Linked DNA regions of Alligator mississippiensis. The protein of the gene in region 1 purifies or fractionates together with the protein of each later gene. This does not show direct contact. Links are inferred from orthologs where the notes say so. Each region holds a gene or a part of one and is shown in the gene's direction. Other genes may lie near its edges. The genes, in order: LARP7, TUT1, PURB and RPLP0.

Region 1 (7,013 bases):
TTCTGCTTCCTGCCTTATCTGCCACTTCCTGTCTCCTGCCCAATCTCCTGCATGCCACACAAAGAGGCTGTCTGTGCCAGTTTTGCAGGTTGGCCACTCCTGCACTATACAGTACAATGATACTTGCTATCCACAAAAAGCACATTTATTAGACGTTATCCGCTGTAGTGAAAATCTGCTACTATAATGCTTTATACTTTGTTAGATCAAAAATATGCTACATCTGACCATTTATAATCCTGTATTTGTAACAACTTCTAAAATCAGAATATATTAGACAAAATAGTAGGACAGGGAACTTTAGACTGTGCAAAGATGAATAGTGGTCCCAACAAAGACTAAAGTTTTTAGTGTTAAAAATATACCTGAGTTTTGACAAATATGCTCTCCAAACATTGTCCTTTGTCATCAAATAAGGTCGCCTGCATTGAAACATAGTGAAATGTTAAACAATCAAATTACTGCATTTCAAAGAGCAGAGTGGATTTGGTAGACTCAGAGAATATATCATACTGTATTAAACTTGAACTCTTCACCTTACTTCCTCCAGTGCTGGTCTTCAAAACCCCATCTTGCCATACTTTTGATTTCTTGGTCTTCTGATGAGTGTATAAGACCTTTTGAATAAAATTGTGATAATTACTGAAATGATAATTTATAGTGGTTGTTGCACAAACACAAGAAATATTTAACTGAATTTTATATATTGTTAATAAAAAACACTTACAGTAAACTCTTGACAAGTCATTGCTTTGGATGGCTTTGCTTCATCAAAGGTCTACATTGCAACTTTTCACTCTCTCATGCTACCTAGGAGACAAATATCTTTTTTAGAAGACATCAGCAAATAATCTAATTTACAGAGGTGCAAAGCACCATTCATTTTAACTCAGTTGATACCTCTGAAAATGTAGCCATTAATTTTTACAAAGCACTTTGAAAATTAGAAGCTTTATCGTATTAACATAATCTTCATGCACACTGGCAATAAGAACTTAGGTTACCTCAAAAGGTATGATTTTCAGAAAATGTAGAATGCCCACTGTCTGAAAAATCCTTTTTTGTTTGCTTGTTTTGTTTTTACACATAACAAGTTGGCCCATTAAAATTTAAGCTGCTGACCCCCCCCCCCCCCCCAGTTAGCCAGTCAACAAAGAACAACATTTTATAAAAATATAATGATCTGTGTCTATGTTCAAAGGGTTGGACTTTCATTGAAACTATTGTCAGTTTTATTAGCTACTGGCACTATGATGAAAATCGACCACAGGGAAATAGCTAGTACTGGCACATGCTCCCAAACTACTTGCAATCTCTGGCTGCCTCTACAGACATCAATATGAATGAATGAAAAAGTATTTAAAAGTAATCATACATAAGAAAAGGAATATGGAAAGCCAAGAAATATTGGACAGCTGTAGAAATTATAGGAAACTACATGATAGCCAGCCTAATAAAAATATAGTTGGATCGATAATACAGATACTATATTTTAACTTTGAAGCACCATACCAGTAGTTACCAAACTGTGGTTCATGGGTGAAACCAATTAGTACACTCCAGCAGGCTCAATTAAATCAAGCCTGCTCCAAAATGCTATAATTACAGCACATTGAAGCAGCATCCCTGCGCATCTACAGACACCCTAGGACTCTGCAATGCTGTGGCTAAAATCTGTCATTCTGTTCCTGGGATCCACACTGATTCAACATTGTAAAAATAAATGTCATTGTTGTAGAACAGTTTCTAGTCAAATACAACTGATTTATGGTATTAGAGATGAGAGAGATTCATGGCAATGAGTCTCAAACTGTGCAATTGGTTTCATTACTTTATTAAGCAAAAAAAAAAAAAAAAAAAAAAAAAAAAAAAAAAAAAAAAATCTTCAAATGCTCAAATTCTACAACTTACCACCAGAGGGCTTTCCTGTTTCCCATATTTTTCGCTATCAGTCTTGGTTCAGCTGTATAGAAAAATCATGTTTCCAGTTGTGTAAATGCTAGTTCCCACAGAAAAGGCAGATTCTACAGTTTATCATCATTTTTGTGCTAGTGCTAGAAGAGGATTCTGGACTTCCAGCATTAAATAAAGCCATTTACATAAACATGTTACTCAAGAGAAGAGTAGTTTTCAGATTTTTTTTTTTACCTCTTCTTTAATAACAAAATGGAACTAGAACAATACTGGGAATTATAGAAGCAGTCATGCAAACTCAATGGAAACAAGTTTAAGGCAGGCTGAATAATAGGGGCACCAATACAGACTCTGTTTTCCCCTGGTTCATTGACTATTAAAAGAACATAACTGCAGCTGCTAAAATTGTAAATGACATCAAATTGGCTGTTCTTGTTCTATCATTAAATATTAAAACAACATCACCTAATTTTCACAAACAACCTTGAAATATTTTCAACAACAAAGGAAGAAAGAAATTAAAGGGGAAGCCAAAGAAAAAGAATCAACTTTCATCTTTTTTTTTTTTTGGACTGGGACTAACTGAAAGGATCAGTACCACTTCAAAGTTCTTCTAATGCTAACAGGTTACGAAAGATCAAAATAAGTCTGTTTCCCCATCACTCCTTTTATTACAAGGATTGTTTAACAGTCCCTCTCTTTCACATCATTTAAAGCAGAGGCAGGCAATTATTTGGGCTGAAAGGCCACATGTGAAGTTTTGTGAGCTGTTGAGGCCTGGGAGGAGAGGGGAGGAAAGGGGAGAGGGAGCCAGGGAGATGCCAATTGATCCTATCCACACTGCTAGCTACTGCTGGAAGCCTGAGGGAGCGTTGTGCCCCACACCACTCCACTCTGCCACAGCCAGGACCTGGCTGGGCCAGACAGTGTGCAGATTCCTCCAACACTCCCCTGCCCCACCATCCTGTTGGTACTGTGCAATCCTGGCACTGCAACAACTGTCAGCCTGGTCCACATGGGACAAGGCATGATGCAGCACGCTGAGTAGTTGTACCACCCACCCACCCACCCACCATGATGAGCTGCTGCAGCCGTGCCACATTGTAAAATGTTGGGGGTGACAGCCCTGAGTCAAGCGGGGGTCGTACCCAACTTTGGGGGCTTGGCTTTTTTTATTATTATTAATACATTTCATGTTCCAGGTCAAATCAACCAGATCAGTTCCACATCATACTACTGAGCAGAACTCAATCATTCCAAAATCCATATCGACCGAGCAAGCAGGACGCAGTCCCAGGCTTTCACCCTGGGACTTCAGACACTCCCAAATCCACTGGCAGGCATCCTACCTGCAGGCCCAAGAGATGCCCCTGCTTCACTTTAGCCCACAAGAGGCCAACTTCTGGGTTTGCTGTCAGTGTTTTCTTTTGCCTGCTTGCCTTGAAATAAAGAAATGCTTCGACTCTGACCCAGGTCTCACTCACACACTGGCGATTAGTGAGCAACATAAATTTAAAAAGATGGGTTATTGGCATATTTATTTGCAGATTTCTCAGGGTACGATCGCTTTTCAACAAACAAACACGATCGTTCTGAGCTTCCCATGCGGGTACTTTCATATTTAAGGTGTGGCAACGCTGCGTTCAGGTAACCAGGCGGGGACGGGACGCGGGCCCGAGGCCGGCTCGGCTCGGCTCGGCTCGGCTCGGCTCGGCTCCAGCCCCAGCCCCAGCCCCAGCCCCAGCCCGCCCCAACCTACCCCACCTCCCGCCCCCAGGCAGTAACATGGAGACAAGCGAAGGGAAGGTGCGTACCCACCTCACGGAGGGACCAAGTGACCGCCGGACCCTTTCAACTTTGAAGCTTTCCCGCGCCAGCTGCCGATGACGTTGTTCCTCTGCGCCGGCACAGAAGGCCCCCGGCTGCCCAAGCTTCGCCTGACGGGAAAGGGGAACAGGACCAAGCCGCTTCCTTGTCGGCCCCTGGCAACCGGCGTGCGCGTAATACGTCACGAGAGCGCCCCTCGCTGATTGGCCTGGCCCCGGAGCTTTCGCTCTGAGACTCGAGCGTCGCGTTGATTGTGACGTGACGGCGGGGCGGAACGGCGGAGCGCTGGAGGAGGCGCGGAGGGTTGTGGCCGCGGGGCGCCCGCGTGACGCTGCCAGAAGCCCCGAGCGGCCGGCGTTGGCAGGTCAGTGCCGCTGGGGGGGAGGGGCGGGCGAGAGCTACCGCGGCGCTTGGAAGGGGAATGCTGTGACGTCAGGGCCTTGTCATGGGGGAGGGGGCGGGGCCTGTAGCAGCTTGCGCGCGAACTCCGCGTGTCGCAGAGCCGCGTCCTGGCTGTTGTGGGGGGTCCTGCTCCGGTGGGGTCGTGTGCAAAGGCTGTGTCCGCGCATGTGTTAGCGGTTCCCTCCAGCATGTGCGCTGCCCCCAGGCCCCGCTTTGCCCTGGCCGTCGTGCTGTGGGCTGAAGGGGGCTTGGTGTTCCTGCCCACACTCATGCAGCTCCCTCTTACTTGTTAGTGGGAAGAAGTCAGGCCCTCCTCAGCTGACACTGACCCCATTGGCCCAGCATCTGACGGGCAAGACGTGTATACACACGTGTGCATGCACCTATCTATAGATATCTACCTTCAATACTACCAAGCGGCCCCTGTGGTTCACTTGGCAGGTCAAATCACACTAAAAACGTGTTACACAGTTCACACCATGCATCCATTTCCATACCTGAACCCCCACCCACTGCCCTCCTCAGAGGGCCTGCCCCTGAAAAAGTCTATGCCAGGCCCCTCTCCACCAGATAATCTGTCGTTTCTTTCCCATCCTCTTCTGTCTTCCTGTAGTACCACTTCTCCCCTCCGGCCCCATGGTTCCCGTTCAGGACGGTCTGTTCCTGAGTTTATCGCCCCGCAGGGCCCTACCCAAAATTGTGAACCTTCTCCCATTAGCCAACCCGTGGGCTAGTCCAAGAAAGTCTGCACTATATCTGCCTACATTTGTGAAGCTCCTCCCATCATGGAATCAGAAAATTAGGGTTGGAGGGGATCTCAGGAGGTCATGTAGTCCAATGCCCTAGATCAGGTGCTACCCAGGAAACTACCTAGTTGCATCAGTGTGCTCTTGGAAATAAGCGTGTTCTCACATTGAGGTGACAGGTTCATAGCTGACATTTGATATTTGCTCCCATTTTCTCTTCCTACTCCCTTGAACATCACCCTTTCTGAGGTGCTATTTCAAGGCTGAAGCGGAATGGGAATCGGAGAGGACAGCAGTACATGGGCTGAAATGTCAAGCTGCCATTGAAGGTCCATGATCACTAAGTGATATGCTGTCCCTAGGCTTTTAAAAATAAATCATTATATATCACTAAACTCATTAATGTTCAAATGGATGGCCCTCATTACAGTCCTGAACAAAAAAATATGGATTAATACACAACAGACCTTTCACAGGGCATGAAATGCTGAGTGATTAACACCTTGTACTGCAGAGACTATTTGTTTTGTTTTCTTTATTTGTTCTTTCTTATGCATCTGAGGTTACTGTTCTTTATGAAACAAAATCTAGAAGTCCTTTGCCCCTGTCAAAAATGATTTTCTATTTGCTTTTTTAAACTGTCAGGGAGGCCTATGCTTTCTCTTTAGGGAGATCTCTTTGGGAGACAAACTGAAGAAACAGGAGGCTGAAACTTAAGATCAGGTCTTACAGACATCAGCATAACTTAAACTTGCTAACTGTGCTATGCTACAATTTCAAGTACTTGAACACAACCTCTCAAAGTTACATTTACTTTTGCTTTTGGTATGAAGTGCTATGTACGTGTGCATATGTGAACAAAATTAAATTTTATTTTGTAAGCAGTAGTTACATTTTAACACTGAAGCTGTTGCTCATCTCATCTGTTTATGTTTGTTAAAATGGAGCTTTTGTTACAATTTTCCTTAATACCATTCGGAACATTTTTGCAGTCATGAATTAAACATAAATCCAAAGCACTAAAGCTCTCTTAAATCATCTTCAAAAATACAAATGTACGTGTTTATAAAAATATGCTGTCAAAATTTGCTTTACCTGTGGCAGGTTAGGTACAGGCTGATGTTGTGTCAGGGTTGAGGCTAGTCTTATGTAAAGTTTAGATTTATGGTTGTATGGAATGTTTTGGATAGGGATGATCCTGCCTCAGGCAGGGAGTTGGACTAGATCAGTGGTTCTCAAACCTTTTTTGTACCAGGACCCATTTGTAAACATTGATGGCCAGTCCTAGCCCAGTGTCCCTCACTCCTGACCCACTGCCCCCAAGCCCCCAGTGTATGGGGCAAGAGCTGGGGAATGGAGGATAGGGGGCCCCAAGCAGTCCCTTGCAGGCTGGAACTCTGACAGCCTGCAAGGGAGAAGCCACGGTTTTCCAAGTTTTTCTCCTTTAAAGGAGAATCCATTTTTTAAAGTTTTTTTTCGTGACCCTTTCATATATTCTTGTGACCCATAGGTTGAGAAATGCTGGACTAGAGGACCCTTCCAGCCCCGCTTCTCTATGATTCTATGACCAAAAGAATGTTCAGCATTGCAAAAAAAAAAGATAGGGTCAATGAGCTAGGGGGGAAAATCAGAATAAACTTATTCTGCCTCAACTTAAATATTACTTTAGAAGATAAAGAAATTTAAAAATAGCAAGTTCATTTATAAACCCTAGCAGTAATGTGTGAGCTAGTGTGGATGTCAGAGGCAAATAAGGCCATAAATCAATACAAGCAAGACAGTTATGTTTATAAGTTTAAGATACAGATTTTTAAAGACCAAACTTTTAAAGATTAAACTACAAATTCAAATGTTATTTCCTTCTTAAGGGGTTTTTGCTTGTAGCTGTGTTGGTCTAAAAAGAGTGACTGCACCCAAAAGCTTGCTAAGAACTTTTTTCCAACTACTCAGTTGGTCTAATAAAAGATATCACATCTACTCAAAGAACCTTGCCTGCCTATTTCCTTCTTAAGACATGTGAAAGTTGTATATTCACCAAGGTAATGGACAGCCATCCAAGTAAATGGTTTAGATCCCTTACAGTGAATTTTGTCAGGGAGTTCAGGAACGTACTTCCTGTAATAG
Region 2 (7,120 bases), on another chromosome or scaffold:
CTTCCCCCTGGGGTCTGGGCCTTCTTTCTCTCTTCCCCCATAGCCCTTTTGTGGGGGAAAGAGGATTCCCGAGAGCCAGCTGTGGCTCTTCTTGGAGGAGGGGAGCCCTGGTCTTCACCCCCTTGGTTGCATCTGGGCTATGTTTGGGGGGCAGGGGTCTCCAGGAGCCAGCCCTGATCTCCCCCACCCCCTTGGTCGGCAGGAGCCACACTCACGGGGCCACTTGTCACGGCCAGAGGCGCAGAGCCTGTCACCCTACACGACCAGCGCGAGCCGAGCCAAGCTGCTGGCCAAGAACAGACAGACCTTCCTGCTGCAGACTACGAAGCTGACCCGCCTGGCACGCCGCGTCTGCCGCGACATCCTGCAGCCCCGGCGTGCCGCCCGCCGCCCCTATGCTCCCATCAATGCTAATGCTATCAAGGCTGAGTGTGCGTAGGAGCCGGGCAAGGTCAGGGGTGGGGGGGGCTCAAGGAGTGTAGGGCAGGTGAGGGAGACTGCCATGCCCATGAATGCCAGTGCTATCAAGGCTGAGTGTGTGCGCCAGGGGAAGTATGTGATAGCCCAGGATAGGGCAGGGGGGTGCATGTGCCTGGGAGTGGGGATGGGGCGGTATGTGTGTGTGGGAGGTGAGAGAGTGCCTGGGGCAGGGGTAGGGACATGTGCTTGGGGGGGCAGGGTGTAAGCAAGCCTGGGTAGTGGTGTGACTGTCCACTGTACCCCCCCTGCCTGATACCTGGTCCCTGCCCCTCCCCTCTGCAGGCTCCATTCGCCTCCCCAAGGCAGCCAAGACACCCCTGAAGATCCACCCGCTGGCACGGCTGCCCCTGGCCACTATTGTCAAGGAGCTGGGTAAGGCTGGTGTGTGTGGGGCAAGGTGGGAGGCCTCTGTGTGCTAGGGTCCCTGAGCATCTATGGGGGATGTTCTCTGCCATCGGTATCCATAGCAGGGACTCCAACCCCCTTGCACAGAGACAGATAGGCCCAGCGCCATCCCTCAGCCCCCGCCCTGCCTGTCTTGGGGATGGGGAGGGGTCCAGAGCAGCTGGTGGACTGGAGTGGGACTGAATAGGCCCTGAATGGGAACTGAATAGGCTCCTGCCCAGGTAGGTCAGGGTGTGTTTGCTGCCTCCCGGCAGGTGTCAACAAGGAGCACAGGGCCATGGTCCTGTCCCGTTGTTGCGCCGCGGTCCCCCCCCTTCCATCCCAGGCAATGAGAAGGAAGGGAGCTCTGGGACCTCATGGTAAAGCCCCGCTGTTTCCTTCCCGGCTCTGGGAAAATTCTGGCATGATTTGGCAGACAGAAGAACAGCAGCTCAGAGGAAACTCTTCCCCCCCTCCCTCCACCCCCGTTCTGTTCAGCAGCTAGGGGTAGATCTGTTCTGCATGGATTTGTTTGTGCCCCTGGCTCCGTTCTCTGCCTCCATCAGCTTCTGTGGCTACGAATTCCATGTGGGAATGGGGTGCTAAGTAAAGAAGCCCTTCTCTTGTGAGTTTTAACCCTGCTCACGTCAGTGGGTGCCCTGAGATCTTATACCTGGGACTTGGTGACCAACAGCTCAGTTCCCTTGGTCCACACCTGTCATGACATGATAGACCTGTTCTGCCACCCCTCAACCTTCTCCACACTGAGTTGTCCTGGCCTTTTGAGTCCCTCCTGCTCTGGTCATAGCTCCAGGCCTCTCATCATGGTAGTTGCCCTTCTCTGGACCGTGGCAATGCTCTGTGCAGGAGCGGGGGTTGTGGAATAATGTGCCCTAAGCACAGGTGAGGGCAGCTTGGAGATGCACGCTCGGGCTGAGGAGGGACCTGGCTGATGCCCACTGCTCCTAAAACATGGGCAGAAATGACAGAAGCGTTGCATGCAGTGATGGGCTCTACATGAGCTGTCACCACACAGGAAAGAGACCTGGGAGCCACCATGGGCAGCTGGTTATAAACATCAGCTCAGGGCTCTGGAACGCTGCCCGGTGCTGATCCCTGCACCTCCAAAAGGATAGAGAAGTCCAGAGAAGGGCAGCAAGGCTGACTAGTGATCTGGAAGGGCTTCTCTAGGAGGAGAGGCTAACAAGGCCAGACCTGGTCAGTGTAGAAGAGAGATGCTTGGGTGGAAAAAATGAAGAGTTTATAAATCACTGATTGGGGAAGATGAAGTCATGAGGAATCACAGGGAAACTAGCAGGCTGCCAATTTAGGACCAATACCGGGAAGTTTTTTCTCACTTGTGGGGCTTGTTGCCCCAGGTGTGGGGGAAGCTGGGAGTTCAGCCTGATTCCTCAAGGGACCAGGCATGTCCTTGGAGGAAAGGGGCATGAGTCACTATGGAGCACGGGCATGAAGGGCACGGTCTCTGAATCGGAACATCCTGGACCTTTCATGCTGGACGCTGCGCGTAGGAGAGGAACAGGAAAACCCTGCTCGGACCTAGTCACTCTGTTCCCTGCCACTGGGGGACACGGGAGACTGGGCCAGACAGAGCTAAGGTCTGACCCCGTCTGGCAGAGCATATGCTCTTCTGTATCTCCGGAGCCAGCAGGCACCTCTCGGCCACCTCCTGCTCTGAGACGGGGCCCGGACATGGCCCCGGACTTCTGGCTTCCCCACAGCCAATGCCACCAACTTGGCTTGGGAGTCAGGGGTAGGGCTGGGAACGGGGCACTGGTTGGACCTGGCCTGGCACCTCTTTACTGTCATGTCACTGGGAGGCCTCCACAGGGGTTCTTACAGCCCCCTTTTTTCTTCCTCTACCCAGCGGCCCAGGCCCCGCTGAAGCCCAAGACGCCGCGTGGCACCAAGACACCCATCAACCGGAACCAGATGAGCCAGAGCCGGGGCCTGGCTGGCATCGTGGGCAAGAGGGCCTACGAGGGGGCCAGTGACGCGCACCGCGTGGCCCGGGTACGCAAGGTGGGGGGGCTTTGTCAGGCATCGGGGGGCGCGGGGGGCTGTAGAGGGGTGGGGGCTTGAGGGGGAAATCATAGTGGGGGAAGTGGGGGGAATCGTAGTGGGGGAAGGGCTACCTGGCAATGGAGCAGGGACTGGGAGGGGGTTGCCAGCAGCAGGGTGGGAGGTTCTGGGGTGGGATGGGGAGGGAGTAGTGGGGGCTTTCCTGGTACAGCTGGGGTAGGGGGCTGGGGCAGGATTGGGGGCCAGGGCTGGACTGGGGAGCCAGGGCACAGCTGAGCTTCCCTTCTTCCTACCCCCCCCACGTGGGCGGCGCAGGTGGTGGGGGGTGGCGTCCCCTTCTCAGCCAACGGGCGGCCCCTGAGCTCAGGGCTCCGGGCCAGCGCGCAGCCGGCCGCCAAGCGCCAGAAGCTCAACCCAGCTGATGCCCCCAACCCTGTCGTCTTTGTTGCCACCAAGGACACCAGGTACTGGGGGGTGGGGGTCTGGGAGAGGGGGCTCCAGAGCAGGCTGGAGCCTGGGCCTGCTGTGGGGGGCAGGTGGGAGGACACCAGGGCTGCCCCCAGGGTCTGGGGGTACCCACCTCCCCCCCACTTGTGACCATACTCCCCCCCACCTTCCCCTCCCCCCCTACAGGGCACTGCGCAAAGCCCTGACCCACCTGGAGATGCGGCGAGCTGCCCGCCGGCCCAACCTGCCCCTCAAGATCAAGGCCACACGCCCCACAGTTGCCCCCCTGGCGCCCGTGCCCCCTGCCCGGCCCGCCAGCACCACGGAGCCCATCGTCCTGGAGGACTGAGCCGGGAGGGGGGGGGCCTTTCCTTTTTATATTTTTTTATTTCCATGTATGCTCCCACAACGTGGCTGGGGGGGCCGGGGCCCAGCCTTGGAGGGCGGAGGGGGGGGTCCGGGCCTCTGGGGCTGCCCCCTTCAATGCAGCTACTTCCTGTCTGTGTGACCTACCCCCCCCTTCCCCCCAGGGCCAGAGGGGAGGGCGCCTGCCCGCCCTTCTCTCTCCTCCCCGGGGTGTTTTTGTACCTCGCCCTGTAACCAGTTCTTATAGTGACCAACCGGGAAATAAAACGACACCTTTTCTTCACCCTTTGCCACTGCTGTGGTTTGGGGGGGGTGTTACAATCTCCTTTATGGGGGGAGAGCCAGGCACAGACATACAGCTGCAATCAAGGCCCATGGAGGGGTTTATTGCACAGAGAATGCAGTCAGACCACAACTCTGGGGTCTCTCCATACCCCCTCCTCCCAGTGCCAAGGGCCTGGAGGTGCCTCGTTCCCTGGGGCAGCTCTAGCCTTGCTCCCCTGCCCTGGGTGGAGCTTGTTGGGGTAGCTCCCCACCCCCACACTACTGCACTGGCGCAAGGGCTATGACCCCCATGTCTGGGGGCTCCTGTCCCTCAGCTCCTGGTGGCAGAAGAAGCTGTCGATGAGCTGCTGGCGCTGGCACAGCCCCTCGGGGCAGGGGGGGCAGTGGAAAGGGTTTGAGGGGGATGTGCCTTGGGGGGCCTGCCCTGGAAGCGAGGGTAGGGACAGCCCCTGAGCCACAGCCACGTTGTGCAGGATGCAGCAGGCGAGGAAGATGCTGAAGACCTTTGGGGGCATGTACTGCAGCCCCCCCCGGCCCACCCTAGCGTGCTAGGCACTGGAACTGCCCCTTCAGCCCTCCCCACAGCAGCCCGGGCGGCCACGTGATAGTGCTGCTCCGCTGCTGAACACTGGGCCTCCGCTGGCACCAGCAGCCAGGGCTGCAGTAGGTAGGGTAGCAAATCATACTGTCACCTGCGGAGAGCACGTGCGATGGGGTTAGGGTTCGTAGAGCGTAAGACTGGAAGGGACCTCAGAAGATCGTTGGGTCCGGCCCCCTGCACCAAGCAGGGAAGATAACGGGGGTCAGGTGCCCCAGCAGGGTGACTCCAGTCTTCTCTTGAAGAGGTCCAGGGTGGGGGGTTGCAGTGGGGGCCCCGCCTGTGAAGCAGGCAGTAGGCGTGGTCCCAGTTGGCTCAGGGGGGTGGGGACAGGGCAGGGGCCCAATCCAGGCAGGCCCCGGGGTAAGACAGGGCAGGGGCCCTGCTCCTGGAACAGCCCCATCTGGCTGGAGGGAAAAACAAGGCAGGGACCTGGGAATGCACCTGCTCAGGAGGGGATCCCGAGCTGGCTCAGGCAGGGTATCGCAGGGCAGGGCCCCCGGCATGCCCCCAACCCTCCCCAAGCTGTCTCCCAGCAAAGCCCCCATAACAGGAGCTTCTACCCTGCCACCGGCGCTAGGCCTCGGCGCGGGGAGGGTCTCCCGGCCTCGCCTAGGAGTCCTTTCCCATCCACTGGTGGGAGGGACGGCGGCCTGGCCCTGCTCTGGCACGCAGAGCCCACGGCCCCCTACAAGGGGTGCGGGGCACAGCAGGGTGCCTGAGGTGCCTGGGGCTCGCCCGGCAGCCACCCGCCCCGTCGTGGTGCCCCTCGAAGGGGGGGAGGCCATGGGTGTCCGGCGGCTTCAGGGCCACGTGGGTGCAGCCCAGGGCTCCCCGCACGCCGCGTCGGGAAGCAGACAAAGGCGACGGGCGAGGGCGGCCGTGTCCTGGGACACGCTGGCCTGGCTGGTGCCCGCATCTGCCCCGGCCCCTGCCCGGTAGGTGCCCACGGTGTGGAAGGCGAGGGCGGCCGCCACCTTGACGCCTGCGGGCAGCGCGTGGCCCAGGTCGGCCGCCACGGCTCAGGGGCCAGGGGGACAGCAGGTACAGTGCAATGGAGGCCGGAAGTGGGGGTGCGGTGTTCTCTCTGTCCTTCCCTCCCTCCCTCCCTCCTCTGTGCTCCGGGCGGGCTCCTCGGGGCCGGGATGGGAAGGAGCGGGGGGCACGTTGGCGGGACGGACCATTTCCTGTGGCCCGGGAACGAAGAGTCCTAGGCAGGGCGGGTGGAGTTGAGGGAGCCCTATCGGGGACGGACCACTTCCGGCAGGGAAGGCGCGGGAAACACGACTGTCGGGGGACGCCTATCGCGGACGGGCTACTTCCGGCGGGGAGCGGCTTCCGGGGGAATCTCAGGGACGGACACTTCCGGCCGCGCGGAACCCGCGCCGGAATGGAGCCGGATGTGGAGGCGCTGCCCCGCGGGGGCTTCCGCTGCCGCCTCTGCCACGTGACCGCCGCCAACCGTGAGCGGGGGGCGGGGTTAGTGGGGGGAGGTCAGGGGTCACCACGTGGGGGGTCAGAGGTCACCACGTGGGTCAGGGCGGGGCTGAAACGCTGGCCTGACCTCTGACCTGTAGGGTCAGACTGAGCCCCCCAACCTTTGGCTGCTGACCTCACCCCCTTGCGTCAGAGCACCTTACCTTAGACCCAGGCAGTGACCCCTGACCTCGCTCCCCCTCCCCTGACCCTTGCCCTGTGCCCCTCCCCTGACCCTTGCCCTGCCCCCGGCAGGGCCCAGCCTGGACGACCACCTGCGGGGCCGCAAGCACGGGCGGCTGGCGGGGCTGCGGGCCCAGCGCCAGGCCCAGGCGCAGCGCAGCGTCTTCGTCAGCGGCTTCCGCAAGGGCACGGACGTGGCCGAGCTCAGCGACTACTTCCAGGCCTTTGGCGGCGTGGCCAGCGTGGTCATGGACAAGGACAAGGTCAGTCCCGGCGCTGGGGGGGGGAGCGGGCAGCCCTCCTCCTGCCCCGCCGGCCCTGATGGCTTCCCTGCGCTGTTCCCCGCAGGGCGTCTACGCCATCGTGGAGCTGGAGGACCAGGCGGCACTGGAAAAGGTCCTGGCCCAGCCTCAGCACAGCGTGGGGGGGCAGCGGCTGCGGGTGAAGCCTCGGGAGCAGAAGGAGTTTGCCTACGCACCCCCCAAGCGGCAGGGGGGCGCCCGCCGCGAGCTGCTGAGTCCCGAGAAGCTGGAGCAGGAGCTGTGCCAGGCCGAGGACGTGAGTGTGTGCTGGGAAAAGGGGACGCGGGGGTCCGTGGTCTCTGCCCCCGGCTGACGTCCTCTTTCTCCAACGTAAGGCTGTAACCTCTGCCGTGGACTTCGGGCGCTAGGTCTGCCTGGCCTGGGCTCCCGGGTCCCCCAGATGGAGGGAGAGCGGCCGGGTGTGAGCAGGGCGTCCCTCTCCCACAGGGAGCCTTCAGCACCGAGGCTCCAGGAGGGTCTGATTCAGAGTAGGAATGTGAACCATTAAGTGATTAATCACTTAACCGATCGGCGCATGATAAATGGTTTTAGCTCG
Region 3 (7,355 bases), on another chromosome or scaffold:
GGCACTGTGCCCCCCCACCCCCACCCCTCAAGGCACTGCTGGACACTTCCTGGGGGCAGGAATGTGCCCAGCAATACGCATCAACCCCTTAGTGATGCCCTTGACCTGACACTCACCATGCCAGGCTCCGGGAGGATCCGTGCTGCTCCCCCCAGCAGCTGCGCCAGGGGCAACAGCTCTTCCTCATCGTCCTGCTTCTCCCCAGATCCAGCCGTATCCTGGCTGGGGGACACCATACCAGCCTGGCAAAGGAAGTCCAGCTGCACAGGGCTCCAGTCAGCTGGGAAGGCCTCATCAGGGCTGGTGTTGGTGCCCTGTGGCAGATGCGGCATCCTCTTGGACTTCCGGTGGGGGGCCCTGGAGCCGCGCCAGTGCCTGGAGGCTTCAGAGGGCAGGAGGACAGTCACTGGATGGCTCCTGCTCTCCTCAGCAGAGCCTGGTGCTGTGCCAGGGGGTAGGAGTAATGGGGGCAGAGAGGGCTGATGCCCGACGGTGGACCTGGAGGGGTCTGGTGTTACCTGCTCGGCATGGGGCAAGGCCCAGGCTGCTCCGGGCTCTACTGCCTCTAGGTCGCTGGCTCCTGCTATCCTGTGGGCCCAGCAGGGTCAGGTGGGCACAAGAAGGGAGCTGATCTACCCCAGGACTGTCCCTACTTGCCCCAGGGGCAAAGGGCTCACCTGGGCGGGCGGGGAGGCCGGGTCGGGGTCCCCGAGCAGAGCGTAGGGGCGGCCGACACGCAGGCGCTTGGTGAGGCGCAGCTGGCGGTAGCGCTGCAGGCTGTCCTGAAAGCGGCGGCTGAAGAGGCCCGTGCTGGGCGCCCGCAGCGAGGACAGTGGGATCTGGTACCAGCGCAGGCCCCCCAGGATGGGCAGCTCTGGGGTGGGCACTGGGGCCACCACCGCCTGCTGGGCCATGGTGCCAGGGGGAAGAACTGGGGCCTGGAGCGGGGAGAAACAGTGTCTTGGCACTTGATGCAGGGGGTGAAGCCTCCAGGATGGTTTTTTCCTGGGAGCTGGGGCCTGCGTGGGGAAGCAAGCACTCGCTGTGACCACACCACTGTCCCCCTGACGTCACACGATGCCCCCGTGACGTCACACGTGGCAAGGCAGTAGGGTTTAGTGGTCAGAGCAGGGGAGTGCTTGGAGCCGGGCGCCTGGGCGCCATCCCCAGCTGGGGGTCGTCGCCCCCCGACCTCTGCCCTTGTGGGCGGAGCCAAAGCCCCACCGCTCCCGCTGCCACGTGCTCCGCGCCTTCCGAATCCCAACCGCCGCCTGCCCAACGCTCCCCTCCGCGCGACGCCCAATCAGCAACCCCGCCAGCCGGACCAATCAGAGGCCGCACCTGCCCCGTCAAACGCACCCAATCAGAGCACGCAGGGCGGTCCTCTGGAAACCCACCCCCGGCCAGCAGGTGGCAGTCGCCGGCAGAAACCCAAGGTCACCCCCTCGCCGGGCTCACGGAGACCCCGCCCCCGTCTACCCCCAGCCTCTCTGGCCACGTGGCGCGGAGCGGCCAATTCCCGCCGGGCGCTTCAGCGGAAGTACCGCCCCGCTTCCGGCGCTGTCCCCGGAAGTAGCCGCAGTCGTCAAGCGGCCTGGTGTAGTCTCTGTTGGACGTTATGGCAGCCCGGTTTCTGCGCGCATACGGCGCCCTCCGCGCCCTGGGCGCCCGCCACTCGCCCGCGCTCGTCCTGCGCCTTGCTGCGCCCGCCCGCACCGCCGCCGGAGGTGAGGGGGGCCGGGGAGCGTGGAGGACACAGGCGTCCGGGGCAAGGGCGGGGGGCGGGCCTGGCTGACTGACGCGGTGGTTCCCTGCACGCCCTGTAGGCGTCCCCACCGACGAGGAGCAGGCAACCGGGCTGGAGCGGAAGGTGCTGGAGGCTGTCAAGAAGGGAACGGTGAGCACGGGGGGCGGGGACTGGGACCAGGCATGGGGGGCTCTGGGGGCCCTGGTAGGTGCTGATGCCCTCGCCTTCCTCTCTTCAGGACCCGTACAGCATGTTCCCACCCAAGAGCCAGGGGGGGACCCGGGAGCACCCCACCCTGGTGCCATCTGTCAATGAAAAGCGGATTGTCGGCTGCATCTGTGAGTGTCCGGGCAGGTGTAGTGGGGACGTGCTAGGGGAAGAGCCTGGGGTGGAGGTGAAAACAAGGGCTCTGCTGGAGCTGGGGGTTAGGGGGCAGAAGTAGCCCTTTGTCCTGCTCTGTCTCACCCCTAGCAGCTGAGGGTGGGAGGGGAAATGTTCTGGCTGTGACCCTGATCTCACTCTCTCCTGGCAGGTGAAGAGGACAACAGTGCCATCATCTGGTTCTGGCTGCACAAAGGTGAGCCACAGCGCTGCCCATCCTGTGGGGCCTACTACAAGCTGGTGCCTCATGAGGTGCCCCATTGAGCTCCTTGCCCTGCCCTGACCTGCTCTACTCTATTTGCCCCTATGTTTGATTCTGGGAGAACAATAAAGTTGTGACTGTCTCCTATTTTGCACTGTATTCTTCATTGCCTGGGGCCAAAGGATGAAGGTGTATCTGCCTTCTCTAGAGTCGTGCCTCTACGCTCGTTGCACCTCAGGAGAGCCTCAGCCTGGGGCAGGGACCCTGGATTTGTGTTATGTTGGGGGAGCGGTGCAAAGGACTGGCCCCATGTGGTGTGGGGGTGCTGGGAGTAGTAGCAGCCTCGGATGAGCCAGCAGTCCCAGCCCAGCGTGGCACGGGTTACTGCTCTGGGAAGGGGAACAAGGTCCCAGGTATGATGGGGAGGGAGAGCTTGGCTTCTACCCAAGGCCTGTGCATGTTGCCTGGGGGGTGAGTTCTTGTTATGTAGGGGGGAGGAGATGCCCTCCAGATGCATGGTAGGGAGAGCTCAACCTGCCTTCAAACTTTGGGGATAGCACGAGTGGCACTGCTTGTATTAACCTCCAGAGGGCAGCAAAGACTGGTGGGAAGGGAGGGGGGTGCCAGCCCTGCATTAACCACTTGCATGCCAGCCCTGCATTAACCACTTGCATGCCAGCCCTGCCTGTCCAGGCCCAAGCCCCCAAGAATCATGCCCACTGCCCAGGTACTTGAGTTCCATACTCTCCTGCACCCTCTGCTGCCACTGGGGGCCAAATCCGGGGAAAATGCAGCTACCTCTGGGGAGGAGCAGATGCCCAAGTAGAACAGCCTGGCTCGGTAGCATTCCATGGGTAGGCCACCAGCCTGGCCCTTGTGGGTGATACGAGAGGGAAGGTGCCAGGGGAGACTGAGGCAGGGAGCTGGGCTGGGCCACACCCAAGCTTTCCCAGCCCAGAGGAGCTTTTTGGGGCTGTGGAGGGAAGCTACCTGCCCCCCACATCAGTTCTGGCTGGGGCTGAAGGGGGTTAATGAGTAAAAGGAATAAACAGGCTGCATGGGGGGAGGGAGAACAGGAATTTTCCTGCAAACTTCATTGGAAGCAGCATTGGGCCTATAATGCTTCAGAGTGATTGGCACCCTAAGATTCATCTGGGTACCCTTGTACTGGTGGTAATGCTGCCCTGGGGGATATGGGGCCCTGTGAGCAGCAGGGGCCATGATGCTGAGCTAGACCAAGACCTGTGGGTTTGCTCCCCATTTCAACAATTGGATGCCAGGCCTCTGGAGTGCTGTAGGGCAAACAGGTGGCCATGGATTCCCCCCACCCCATGCTGGATGCCGGGGATTCCCAGACCTGCCTGCTGCCCCTGGCACCTGTCCCGCCAATCTCCGGCATTACCCACAATCCCCCACACGGTGCCCCCACCCCATGTACCCACAGACCAGCTGCTCCCGAAGCCTCCTGGTACTGGCGGGCGCGGCAGGGGGGGCTGCCCTGGCTGTCCCGGGGGCGGGGTCTGCTGGGGAAGGGGAGGGGCAAGGAGCCGATGGGCGGGGCTTGGGCCTGAGTGACAGCGCAGTGAGAGCCTTGGGCGGGGTCCAGCTGACTGACAGCCATGGAGGCGTGGCTACCGGGGGGGGCTCCTGCGACTGTTGTGGGCGTGTCTAGAGGCGGGACCAGGCTCACAGCCGCGGCCCTCTGCCTTGAGCGGGTCCAGCCTGGTGACATCACCGGGGGCGTGGCCAAACGGTGCCAGCCCTAGGGCGCACCTCCCTCTCTCGTGGGCGGGGCCAGCCTCGCTTCCACCCCAGGGGTTGTGGCCTGCTTTGTCTCCGCCCCTAGGAGGTGCATCAGTCTCCCGCCTGGTGACATCACGGGCAGGGGGGCGGGGCACGCCCGGCGGCCACCCCTTGGGGGCAGCTAGCCCGTGGGCGGAGCTAGCCTCGCTCTTGGGCGGGGCAGGGCGGGTGACGTCACGGGGCGGGGCCGGAAGCGGGAGGCAGCGGGGCCGGGGCGGGAAGATGGCGGACGGGGACAGCGGCAGCGAGCGCGGCGGTGGAGCCGGGGGAGGCGGCGGCGGTGGCGGCGGCGCGGGGCCGGGCCCGGGGCGGGCGGAGCAGGAGACTCAGGAGCTGGCGTCCAAGCGGCTGGATATCCAGAACAAGCGGTTCTACTTGGACGTGAAGCAGAACGCCAAGGGCCGCTTCCTCAAGATCGCCGAGGTGGGCGCCGGCGGGGCCAAGAGCCGCCTCACGCTGTCCATGGCCGTGGCGGCTGAACTACGTGACGCGCTGGGCGACTTCATCGAGCACTACGCGCAGTTGGGGCCCAGCCCCGCCGACCCTCTGCCTCCAGCCGGCGCCAGCTCGGCCTCGCCGCCCGACGAGCCGCCGCGCCGCGCGCTCAAGAGCGAGTTCCTGGTGCGGGAGAACCGCAAGTACTACCTGGACCTGAAGGAGAACCAGCGTGGCCGCTTCCTGCGCATCCGCCAGACCCTCAACCGCGGCCCCGGGGCCTTTGCGGGCGCCTCTGGCCTGCAGAGTGGCCAGACCATCGCGCTGCCCGCGCAGGGCCTCATCGAGTTCCGCGATGCCTTGGCCAAGCTGCTGGACGACTACGGGGCCGAGGACGATGAGCCAGGGCTGGCGCTGGGTGGCGGCGCGGGGGCAGGCAGTGGAGAGCTGCCTGAGGGCACGTCCATCACCGTGGACTCCAAGCGCTTCTTCTTTGACGTGGGCTGCAACAAGTATGGTGTTTTCCTGCGTGTCAGCGAGGTCAAGCCAGCCTACCGCAACGCCATCACCGTGCCCTACAAGGCTTGGGCCAAGTTCGGTGGTGCCTTCTGCCGCTATGCTGATGAGATGCGCGACATCCAGGAGCGCCAGCGCGACAAGCTGTATGACCGCCGGCCGGGCACTGGGGGAGTTGGCGGAGGAGCGGGGCCTCCAGGGCCCGGCAGCGGGAGTGGTGCTGGTGACGACTCGGAGGCGGATGATGTGGATGACGATTGAGCCCCGCTAGGTGCCCCCGAGAGAGGATGGACCCCCCCCACCCCAAGCCCTGCCAGCACCTATGCCCCCACAAGCCTCACTGGACTGGGGGATCCCACCGGAGCCCTGCTGGACTGGGGGATCCCCCCATCAGAGCTCTGTCAGCGCCCCCAAGTGTCTCGCTGGCCTGAGGGATCCTGCCAGAGCCCTGCTGGAGTGTGGGATCCTCCCCATTGGAGGGGTGTCCTGCCAGCCGCCCCCGAGAGCTTCCCTGCACTTCAGGACTCCCCCAGAGCCCTGCTGGAGTGGGCAAGCTCTGCCAGACTGGGGGATCCCTCTGGAGCCCTGCCGGAGTGTGGGATCCCTCTCCTCTCAGAGAGCTTGCCAGTGCCCCAAGACCCTTACCAGATTGGGGGATTCCCCTGGAGCCATGCCAGAGTGGGGGATCCCCTTGGAAATCTGCTAGGCTGAGAGACCACCTCACCTTCCCTCCAGAGTTCTGCAAGTCTCCCTGGAAACTTCACTGGACTGCAGGACCTGCCAGCTCTCCCGCATCGGAGCCCTGCCAGACTGGGAGGCCTGCTAGTGCCCTCATCAGAGCTCCGCTGGACTGGGGGAATCCTGCTGGACCGGAGGACTCTTCCCCACTCCCCATCAGAGCTCTACCAGCCTGGAAGACCTGCCATGACCCCCATCATCTTGAGGCAAGCTGGGAACCTCCCATATCTTCAGGGCCCTGAGAAGTGGGGGTGTCGTATGGATCCCCCCACCACCACCCTGCATCCGTTGGAGATGCTGCCTGCTCCACCAATGAAACCAGCATCCAGGCTGCTGCCGCTACCCAAAGAAAGACGGGTGGTGATGGGGGGCATCACCCTCCACTTAGAAATCAACCAGAGGGGGCAGAAGACAGGGGCACAGAGGAGAGGTTGAGGGGCATCTAGCGAGGGATGAACCTAGTATAGGGGGAAACCGGGGGTGGGTTGATTTCTCTCTTTTTGGACCAATGTCCTGGCTGATCTTGGTTTCCTTTGCTGAATGGCTGGTTTCCATACTGGACCCCTATTCTCCAGCACCCCTCTCAAGCAGCCTATTCTCAGAGAAACCTGCCAGTTCTCTCCAGAGCTAAAGGACCCTTCTTTCTTTATTTGGATCCTTTTCTTCCCTTGAATATCTATCCCAACACCTTCAACACAGGGCTGCAAAGAGAGGGTAAATTGAAGACAAAAAATCGGGCACGAAGCACAAGGCAGCTAGGGGAAGAGAGAGGGGGCTGGGGGGAAGTTGCACCCCCCTCTTTTCTCTCCAAATAAGGTTGTCTCTGAAGAGAAATGGCTGGAAGAAATCGGAGCCAACTGGCTCCTGGGGGGGGAGGGGTTGTAGGGAAATCAGCAAGGATGTGGCCTTCCAGCTGGGGTTGGAGAGTGGAGAGCAAAGGCAAAGGTTCCAGCCCAGTCCCCCCAGATCTCTCAGTACCTCACAGCACATTGTATCAGCAACAACCACACGCCTGAGGGGCAGCCGGCGGGACTTTGCTCACGGCGGCCGAAGCCCCCAGCTCCACTATGTGACTCTTGAAACGCCCTGGCGGCATTGGATTTCCCAACCACCTTGAGATCTCAGCTGAAGCCAGCAAGTCCGATCCTGGAGCTGAGCTGCAAGAGGGGTGAGGGGTTGGGAGGGAGCTGGGCAAGAATCCCTCCTCCTTAGCTTTTAACTGGATTTTTCACTTTTTTTTTTTTCTTTAGCTCAGTCCAGTCACTCGCCTCCCCCCCCTCTGCCAAGAGAAAGATAGAAAAGCCAAGGTATTTTCGCCGCGTGTTCGTATCCTAGTCACTTGGAACTGAATGGCAAGCGACACTGTTCATTCCAAAGTTTCGGGTATTCCTTGTGAGACACCGTAGGCTATATCAGTTGTTTGTTTTTGTTTTTTTTCTTAGCTGCATGCCCGTCCTCTTGATTTGAGCTGCCTTTTTAATTTCATGCAGACCCTGGTGTCCATCTTCCCCTTATTATTTTGGGGGGGGAGGG
Region 4 (7,954 bases), on another chromosome or scaffold:
ACACAATAGTATGCACAAATAATTCAGAGAACTTGAGCTCACGGGAAAGCTGTTTTTAATAAAGAATAAATCTCCACCCCCTCTTATGGAGGCTTGAGTTAACTCCCAGTTTGCCCTAAGAGGAACTGGTTTAATCACTTCTCCAGATCTCTGAGTAGAGGATATGAAGAAAATGAAGTGGCCTTTATAGTCTGCAACCTGAGCTAAGTTATTAAAATTCCCAAGTCGGAATCACAGTGTACCAGCAGCTTCTGGGTGGCAGACAATAGCCCAGACACAGTAATGCCTACGATTAAAATGCTCCCAAGTTAGTTAATCCTTGGCTGTTGACACTGCGTGCATTATATGCAGGAAATCCAAAGGTTTTCTGTAAGTGTTTAAAGTCCATGAGTTAGAACTTACGACTACATGGAAGGCAGAGTGCAGTTTTCTGAGTACCAGTACTTGACCCTGTTCATACGCTATTTTCTCATTAAATGTGTTGCTTAATATACTGCTGTTTTGGTTTAGCATAGCCTCAGACCACAAACCACCCAGCTTGTTCCTGTTGGCATGTGTGTCTGGACTCTGGGTTGTGGAATAAGGTTTCTTCTTTTTTTTTTAATGTATAAAAAAAAAAAAGCTAGCTTCTCTATTTATTTATTTGCACTAGCCATTTCCTCCTGGCCTAGGATTCTAGGTAGAGAGATTACTTCACTGTTGTATTTAATATAGAGGGTTGCAAACTCCATTATACAAGCAGTCTGAGTAGGAGCAACCTTTTTGGTCAGAGAGAAATTTGCATTGTTTAGTCTTCTGTTTTCCATTTGTTTCTTGGCTTCCCTGATGCCACTGCCCATGGGAGAAGCACTACAGTTGTCATGAGGTGAATGTTGTGACATGAATACCTGCTGCCTATGGATACTTGATTAAGACTCACCAGTTCTTCTCACAGGCACTAAACAAAAGATTACTATAGATTTTCAGTGACCTACTGTAAATCACAAATAGTTTTCAGTAACACTTTCTGCTTTCTGACTTTGTTCCCACTTCCAAGTACAGAGCTCCCTTCATCCTATCAAGGGTGAGCTATGCAGCTTCTTGCTCTGGGTCCGGTAGAGGTACTGACTCCAGAAGTAACTTGAGTCCTGAGTACTGACCCTTGGTGGAACCACCCAAGCTGAAGAACTGGGCCTTCCTTGTCTACCTTTCATTATGTTGCTGCCTGAGTGAGAGCTGTGAAGAAAAGGGATGTTGACATCAGCTGGGCCTTCCAGGAAGGCAGGAAGCTCCAAGCTACCCTCCAGTTTTTGCTGAAAGCAAAACTATACAGCATTCTGTACTGAGAATGGCATGAGATGAACTTTTCACTAGTATCCAACCATCTTCTCTGAGCCCATTTGCAGGAAGCATCTGAGTGAATCTTTTCAAGGCATACGTGATATGGTGGGTATTGTAGTATAAATCCAGGGATGTTCTTTTTCTCATAGACTGCCTGGTAGGTGGGTTATGGCTTCCTTTACATAGTGCAGAGCCTTGAACACAGAGATGGAAGGGGCATGGCTAGCTGGGCTGCAATACTACGTATAAGGAGGTTGAGAGTTGGAGTGAATTAAAAACTATGAATCAAGAGCGTAATATTGTCACAAAAACTGCCAACAGCATACTAAGCAATCTTAACTGGAGTATCATTCTTCCACTCTGTTCAGCATTGGTGAGGCCTCACTTGTCAAGTACTGTGTCCAGTTTTGGGCATCACATTTTAAGAAAGAGATGGACAAATTGGACAGAGTTCAGAGGAGAACAACAGAAAAGATTAGAGGTCTAGAAAACGTAGCATAAGGAAAGCTTGGAAGAATTGGGATTATTTAGTTCGGAGAAGATTGAGGAGGGATTTCAAATATGAAAAGAACTGTTGAGCACAAATCTGCTTAAATTGCAACAGAGGCGATAAAGGAAGAACTTTCTAACTGACACTGCTTGAGCCCTGGATGGAGCAAGTGGCCCAGGGAGAACCTCTGTCATTGGTGCAGGTTAAACAGATGTTTTTTTGTGGGATGGTTCAGATGGGAATGAATGACCTTTCCTCGAGTAGGGAGTGGTGAAGGATGTCCTTTTGAAGCCACTAGAAGCACAACTTTTGTATGATTCTATGGAGGTCAGTGAACATGGGTCCCAGAGAACACCCTCAGATTTGTAGTGAGTGTGTGGTGAACGTCCTTTCACCCACATCCTGTCCGGGTGATGGCTCTCACCTGCCACACCGAGGATTGCAAGCCCAGTGCCCCCTTTCCTTGTGATAAGTGGGGAGGAGGGGAGGGAGCCTGGAGCTTTGGGGAAAGCCTGGTCTCATCACTCCCTCTAGAGCCCATTGACAGAACTGCTAAATTGGATGGAAGCATTAGAAGGGTGTGAAGCATCTCCTCTTCCCCTTGGAGCTACTAACCCCTCACTGGGCTGGGTTTCATGTGGCATAATCCTCACTTTGATTCTCACACAGGGTTCAGAAAGAGGCACATGTTTGGCAAAGGGGAGACTTGTGTAACTATCATATAAATCCTATAAAAAGCATTTTTGGAGTCACAGGGTCTGATTTCTGAGACTGGGCTTCAGGCTTGAAACATATTTTAGCTGCTGGAACCACAGCCCTTCAGCTAACCCTTCATCTTGTGGGAGTGGTGAGATGAATATGCATGGCTCACTGTGTGCCTTCTGCAGGGACCATTAGGAAGTGATGAGCCATCTCCTGTGCAGACATGTAAGAACTTTGACTTTGTTGTAAGATTTATGATTTGTTCCAATTGTTTTGGCCAAGATATATGCCCTTCCCTCTTTCTCCCTACAAGGAACTCACTGCTTACAGTGATGCCATGTCTTTATTACACTGAAGTACTATGGAATCATCTGGGCTGAAAGAAGCCTTTGGCCTTGTCTACATGGAAAATAGTGCATTGTAAATGAGTTTTTAAAATCAGTACATTCCCCTGCCCTTACGCTTCTTGGGGTTAAGAGCAGCATATTTGGGTTTGGATTAAATCCCTTCCTTATTGATCTGAAGCTAAACCTGAGCAGCCAGTCAGCCTTTGGCACAGGGTTAAAGATGCTATCTCTAGTTAAACTTACACAACTCTCTGGTGCAAATGAGCCCTTTCAGAATGGGAAACGGCAAGGACTCCCTGTAAAATCGGCTCTATTGCCTGGTGCTTATGACCAAATGAAATCTCGGTCCAGCTTTGGGAGGCTGATTGGAACCACCAGGAACACCCCCTCGAAGAGAAACAGCAAATAAACACTCTGCATTCCTGGCTGAGCTGCTCTCTTGTTGAAGCATATAATGGGTTTATTTTCTGCAACAAACCAGAGAGAGTACTGTACCACGAGCAGTTCCTCTACTGAACCAACATCCATCTGATCAAATACTTAGATCTGCCTCAGTTGCTGGGTTTAATAGAGTAACAACAACAGAGCACTGAGGAAGGATCACCATCCTCCTGCTATGCAGGATGTCTTTGCCTCCCTACATCTACATCCTACAAATCATAAATGTCTTCTCTGCCTTAACATGTGTGTTGCAGCAGGGGCGTTTTATCCTGTGGGTAGGTTCTAGTGCAGTGGTTCCCAAACTCTGACAGATTGCACACCAGTTTAAAATGATACAAACTTAAATACCGCCAGTAAATTTTTCAGTTCAGCTTTAAGTACCACCAGCAGATTTTTGTCATATAAAGGAATTATAATGAATGTTAACTCATACCACTGACAGGTTGCCTGCATACCACTGGTGGTACCTGTACCACAGATTGGGACCCTCTGTTCTAGTGCATTCCTCAAATATTTGGTTTCAGTGTAGGAGGCTGGACAGTGGAGAGCCAGAAGCACCTGGAAAGTTACTGTCCTGCTGCAAGCCTTGGATCCTTGGGTGTGTGAGCTCAGTTCCTGGCTTTGCCCCTGACTTGTGGTTTAGCCTTGAACAAGTTTATTCGTTACGTGGTCACAACCATGGGCCTAATTCTGGTCTCACACTAGGCTTATGCCAACATTAACTCTATTCACTGCATGGCATAGAGCATCTCCTAAATTATGCTAGTGTGAAGAGAGATTGGGATCAGACTCCATTGGAAAATCAAAGCACTACATACATTTCTGGTATGGTGATGTACACACAGGAATAAACATTGGGATTCTCCCTGGCAGGCACGCTGTGTGCAATAACTGGGATCTACGTTGTTTGTCAGAACGTAAGTCATTTTGCAGCTATGCTGAGCCTCATCATTGGAAGAACAGTCTTGGTCTTAAAATGGTCTGATCACAAACAATTCTGGTCATGTTCCTAGAGGAAAAACAGCACCAGCCACTCAGGTTCCTGCTGGGTGGTGGTCGTCCAGCCATCGCAGCTGGGTCTCTCACCGCTCTGCCCATTTCCATGCACATCGCCTTATTTCTCTCGAAAGAATCATTTCTTCCTCTCAGACCACAGGCGGTTCCTGGCAACAGGAGCTGGCGTGTGCGCAAGTGCTGAGCCCTCCAGCCAAACCCCGTGGATCTGCCCTTGGTGGACTCAGGCAGGGGCCTGTGCTGCTCCCACCTGCTGGTCCCCGTTCAAGGGGAGCCTACGGGCATGGTGCCCTCGTCCCACTGGGGCGCCTTGTGTGTTCCCTGCTGCATCAGGGCTGCTACAGGGTGACTCCCCGGTGGGCCTCGGCCCCGGGGTCGGGTGTGACACGGACCTCGAGGCAGTGACAGTGCTCTGGCGCCTCGGAGAGTCCCCTCCAGCAGGGGGCGCCCTAGCTGTAGGCAGCGGCCCGTCCGCTGTTGCGGCTCCTTTAAAAGCCTGTGCTTTCCTCACGAGCGACAAGCCTTCTGCCCAATAGCAGGGGCGAGCCCGACTCGTCCCCGTTATCGACACCCGTCGTGGCCAATGGGCGGCAAGGCGCCCCGTCCTTCGCTGGCCGTCGCCGATTGGCTGAGACTCGGCATACAAAAGGAGGAGGAGGGACCACCGCCCGCTCTTTCTTTCCGTAGCTCGCGTGGAGGTGGGAGCGTGGAGCGGCCGGGGCCGGGCGGTGGCGGCCACACCCGCGGGCTCTGGGCATGGGCGGCGGAAGGCTGGGGCCGCCCCCACATGCCGGCTGTGTAGGGTCTGGCCTGGTGGGGTGGGCCTGGGAGCCCCGGGGGCTCCGGCCGAGGCTGGCTCCGCTCCGGGCCCCAGGGGCGGGGAGGCCTCCGATCCCCCGCACGGCTCTTGCCCCTCCCCCAGTCCTTTCCCTCGCAGACTTTACTGCGGCAGGGAGGGGGTGCGCGCATGCGCCCGCGGTCACCCCGCCCCCCCATTATTTTCTTTCTCCGCCGATGCCGGCGGCGTGGGCTGTGTTGGGCGCGGGCCCGGCGGTGCTCGTGTGCCCGGAGCGAGCACTGAGTGTGCGCTGCTGCTTCCTCCCGCAGGCCTCGCCTCGTCTTTAAACCGTCCGCGGCAATCCTTGGCACCGGCACGATGCCCAGGGAAGACCGAGCCACGTGGAAGTCCAACTATTTCCTGAAAATCATCGTAAGTGCCCGGCAGCTACTGGTTGTGCGCGGGGCTGGGCGCTGAGGCCCTGCTGCGTGTGGCCGGGCAGCAGCGCTGCAGGCGCTGCTCCAGCCGACGTGGATCTGACCCCCGTCTCATAAAGCTGCTCCGTGCCAGCTGGGTACACACGGCAGTCGGTCTCCTGGGGGACTTGGCTGATGCTGCTGTGCGGAGCAGCTACTGAGGTCAAGCTACACGGCTGTAAGAGGCTGTGTGGGGTCCCTGGAAAGAAAGCGCTTGTGTTGAGGGGGAAAGTCCAGCTTGCGTGCAAGAAAAATGCTGCACAGGAGCCCTGTCCACGCCACCTGCTTTCCAGCTGAGTGCAGTTTGGTTGTGCGATGCGGCGTGCTCTGAAATATGTGACTGTAATGGCAACTGCAGCTCCTCGCTAGAGCCACACGTCTAGCAAGGGTAGCGTCATCCAGGTGTCGGTCCCTCATGGAGTTAAAACGGGTTTCACCAACATACAGCCGCAAGCACAAACTTCACGTGTGCTTTATCTGGGCCATGCCATTGTTCAGCAGCTTGGTCTGGATTTCTTTGCCTAATTTGCTTCTGTTCTCTCTGTAGCAACTACTGGATGATTATCCAAAATGCTTCATTGTGGGAGCAGACAACGTTGGATCCAAACAGATGCAGCAGATCCGCATGTCCCTGCGTGGGAAGGCTGTTGTGCTGATGGGGAAGAACACCATGATGCGCAAAGCTATCCGGGGTCACCTGGAGAACAATCCTGCTCTGGAAAAGTGAGTAAAACTGTCCTGTTCCACACCTGGCTTCTGTTTCCCAGGCAGGGAGGAGTTTGTTGGAAAGAGTGAAACCAAACAGTGTTTTTTTGTATCTCCTTCAGGTTGCTGCCTCACATCCGTGGAAACGTGGGCTTTGTGTTCACCAAGGAGGATCTGACTGAGATCCGAGACATGCTGTTGGCTAACAAGGTAAAGGTGGAGGGTGTTGTAGCAACCCCCTTTGTAGCACCCCTAGTCCTGGAGGTCTAGGGTCTGACCTGAGCTCAGTATGGGATGTTCATGATGAATCTTAGTTTAGAAAGCCGGAAGGGGCGCAGACTCGTTGCCTTTTGGGGTCTGCTTCTGGTGTTGTTGCTAGATAACTGACTCTAGTTTTATGTATTTTTGTCTCCGTTTGTCTTGTATATAATTGGGCAATGTCGGTCTCTCAGGAGCTGTGTGAGGAGTTAATACCCTGCATTTCTTTCTGAGATAAGCATTATTTTGCTTTTTGTCCCTGTTACCTGGTTCTAGGTGCCAGCGGCAGCTCGTGCCGGTGCCATTGCCCCCTGTGATGTCACTGTGCCAGCTCAGAACACTGGTCTGGGTCCTGAGAAGACCTCCTTCTTCCAGGCTCTGGGCATCACCACAAAGATCTCCAGGGGTACCATTGAAATCCTGGTGAGTGCAAAGCAGTGTTTAGTAGCTGCTAGCAAACAGGGTCTAGCTTTCCTGTGGTGAGGTGTGAGGGTCTTGCACAGCACAGATGTGCTTCCTGTGTGAAATGCTCTGGTGTACACACCTGGTTTGCCAGGCTGGTACTAGATGTTGTTTTAAAAACGCGCCGTTTGCTGCACAGGCTGCTGCTGTATTTATAGATCACAGCCGAGCACTGAGCTTGTTTTCTTTCAGCATTCTTGGTGCAAGTCTTTCAGTCCCACTTGTAGCCTTCAGTACTGTGTACTTGAACTACTACCTCTGTGTCTGGTTTTCCCTGCAGCTGGTTGCTTACTTTTCCTTGTTCCTCAGAGCGACGTGCAGCTGATCAAGACTGGAGACAAAGTGGGTGCCAGTGAAGCCACCTTGCTGAACATGTTGAACATCTCCCCATTCTCCTTTGGGCTGGTTATCCAGCAGGTGTTTGACAATGGCAGCATTTACAATCCAGAAGTGCTGGACATCACTGAGGAAACTCTGCACAACCGCTTCCTGGAAGTAAGAGCTGCTTGCCTGTGCTGCATGCCATGCTTGGTCTAGACCACAGAGAGCACAGGAGTAGCCACTAGGATATCTCGTCTAAAGCTGGACTGGGCAGGCTTATCTTTTCCTATTGGAACAAGTATCATCCAAAAGTGAACACCTCCCAGTCCTGAATAACCAGGGCAGTCTCATTGAGACCCTATTCTTGCTTCTCCTTGGAGTCTGCAACAGAATCACCTAGAAAAGATGATAGGAGTTGAGATGAGTTTCTTCCCAGAGGGATGCTGTGTTCTGACCCTATTTGCTCTCCTTGTGCTACATGTAAAATTCAGAGGAAACGGAGAACACACACTTGGAAATGGGTTTGGGGTTCTGACTACTTTTTTTGAATGCTTAGAAACACAAGTTCTTCTTTTCCCCTTCCTCAGGGTGTTCGTAACGTTGCAAGCGTTTGTCTGCAAATTGGCTACCCAACCATTGC

What was found.
Region 2: the proteins of LARP7 (region 1) and TUT1 purify together in Homo sapiens (affinity purification with mass spectrometry; 4 studies listed by BioGRID and IntAct, with this or other methods). This does not show direct contact. The link is inferred for Alligator mississippiensis from reciprocal best matches to the Homo sapiens genes LARP7 and TUT1.
Region 3: the proteins of LARP7 (region 1) and PURB purify together in Homo sapiens (affinity purification with mass spectrometry; 3 studies listed by BioGRID and IntAct, with this or other methods). This does not show direct contact. The link is inferred for Alligator mississippiensis from reciprocal best matches to the Homo sapiens genes LARP7 and PURB.
Region 4: the proteins of LARP7 (region 1) and RPLP0 purify together in Homo sapiens (affinity purification with mass spectrometry; 3 studies listed by BioGRID and IntAct, with this or other methods). This does not show direct contact. The link is inferred for Alligator mississippiensis from reciprocal best matches to the Homo sapiens genes LARP7 and RPLP0.

Annotation. Positions count from the first base shown.
Region 1 is NC_081825.1:125,983,109-125,990,121, reverse strand, and holds the start of LARP7 (la-related protein 7), read left to right. Parts: upstream 1-4,011; 5' UTR 4,012-4,105; intron 4,106-7,013. Other genes in the region: protein ZGRF1, read right to left, coding at 366-422, 537-617, 728-748. UniProt on the Homo sapiens protein: RNA-binding protein that specifically binds distinct small nuclear RNA (snRNAs) and regulates their processing and function.
Region 2 is NC_081838.1:3,241,965-3,249,084, forward strand, and holds the start of TUT1 (speckle targeted PIP5K1A-regulated poly(A) polymerase), read left to right. Parts: upstream 1-4,102; 5' UTR 4,103-5,657; coding exon 5,658-6,066; intron 6,067-6,334; coding exon 6,335-6,525; intron 6,526-6,610; coding exon 6,611-6,820; intron 6,821-7,120. Other genes in the region: metastasis-associated protein MTA2, read left to right, coding at 203-431, 763-852, 2,753-2,907, 3,223-3,371, 3,541-3,703. UniProt on the Homo sapiens protein: Poly(A) polymerase that creates the 3'-poly(A) tail of specific pre-mRNAs. Localizes to nuclear speckles together with PIP5K1A and mediates polyadenylation of a select set of mRNAs, such as HMOX1.
Region 3 is NC_081830.1:10,716,142-10,723,496, reverse strand, and holds the start of PURB (transcriptional activator protein Pur-beta), read left to right. Parts: upstream 1-4,355; coding exon 4,356-5,345; 3' UTR 5,346-7,355. Other genes in the region: protein FAM178B, read right to left, coding at 117-382, 519-588, 678-914; cytochrome c oxidase subunit 5B, mitochondrial, read left to right, coding at 1,619-1,727, 1,827-1,897, 1,986-2,085, 2,280-2,392. UniProt on the Homo sapiens protein: Transcriptional regulator which can act as an activator or a repressor.
Region 4 is NC_081833.1:21,250,272-21,258,225, forward strand, and holds the start of RPLP0 (large ribosomal subunit protein uL10), read left to right. Parts: upstream 1-4,937; 5' UTR 4,938-5,012; intron 5,013-5,421; 5' UTR 5,422-5,470; coding exon 5,471-5,524; intron 5,525-6,115; coding exon 6,116-6,291; intron 6,292-6,395; coding exon 6,396-6,483; intron 6,484-6,807; coding exon 6,808-6,954; intron 6,955-7,302; coding exon 7,303-7,488; intron 7,489-7,901; coding exon 7,902-7,954.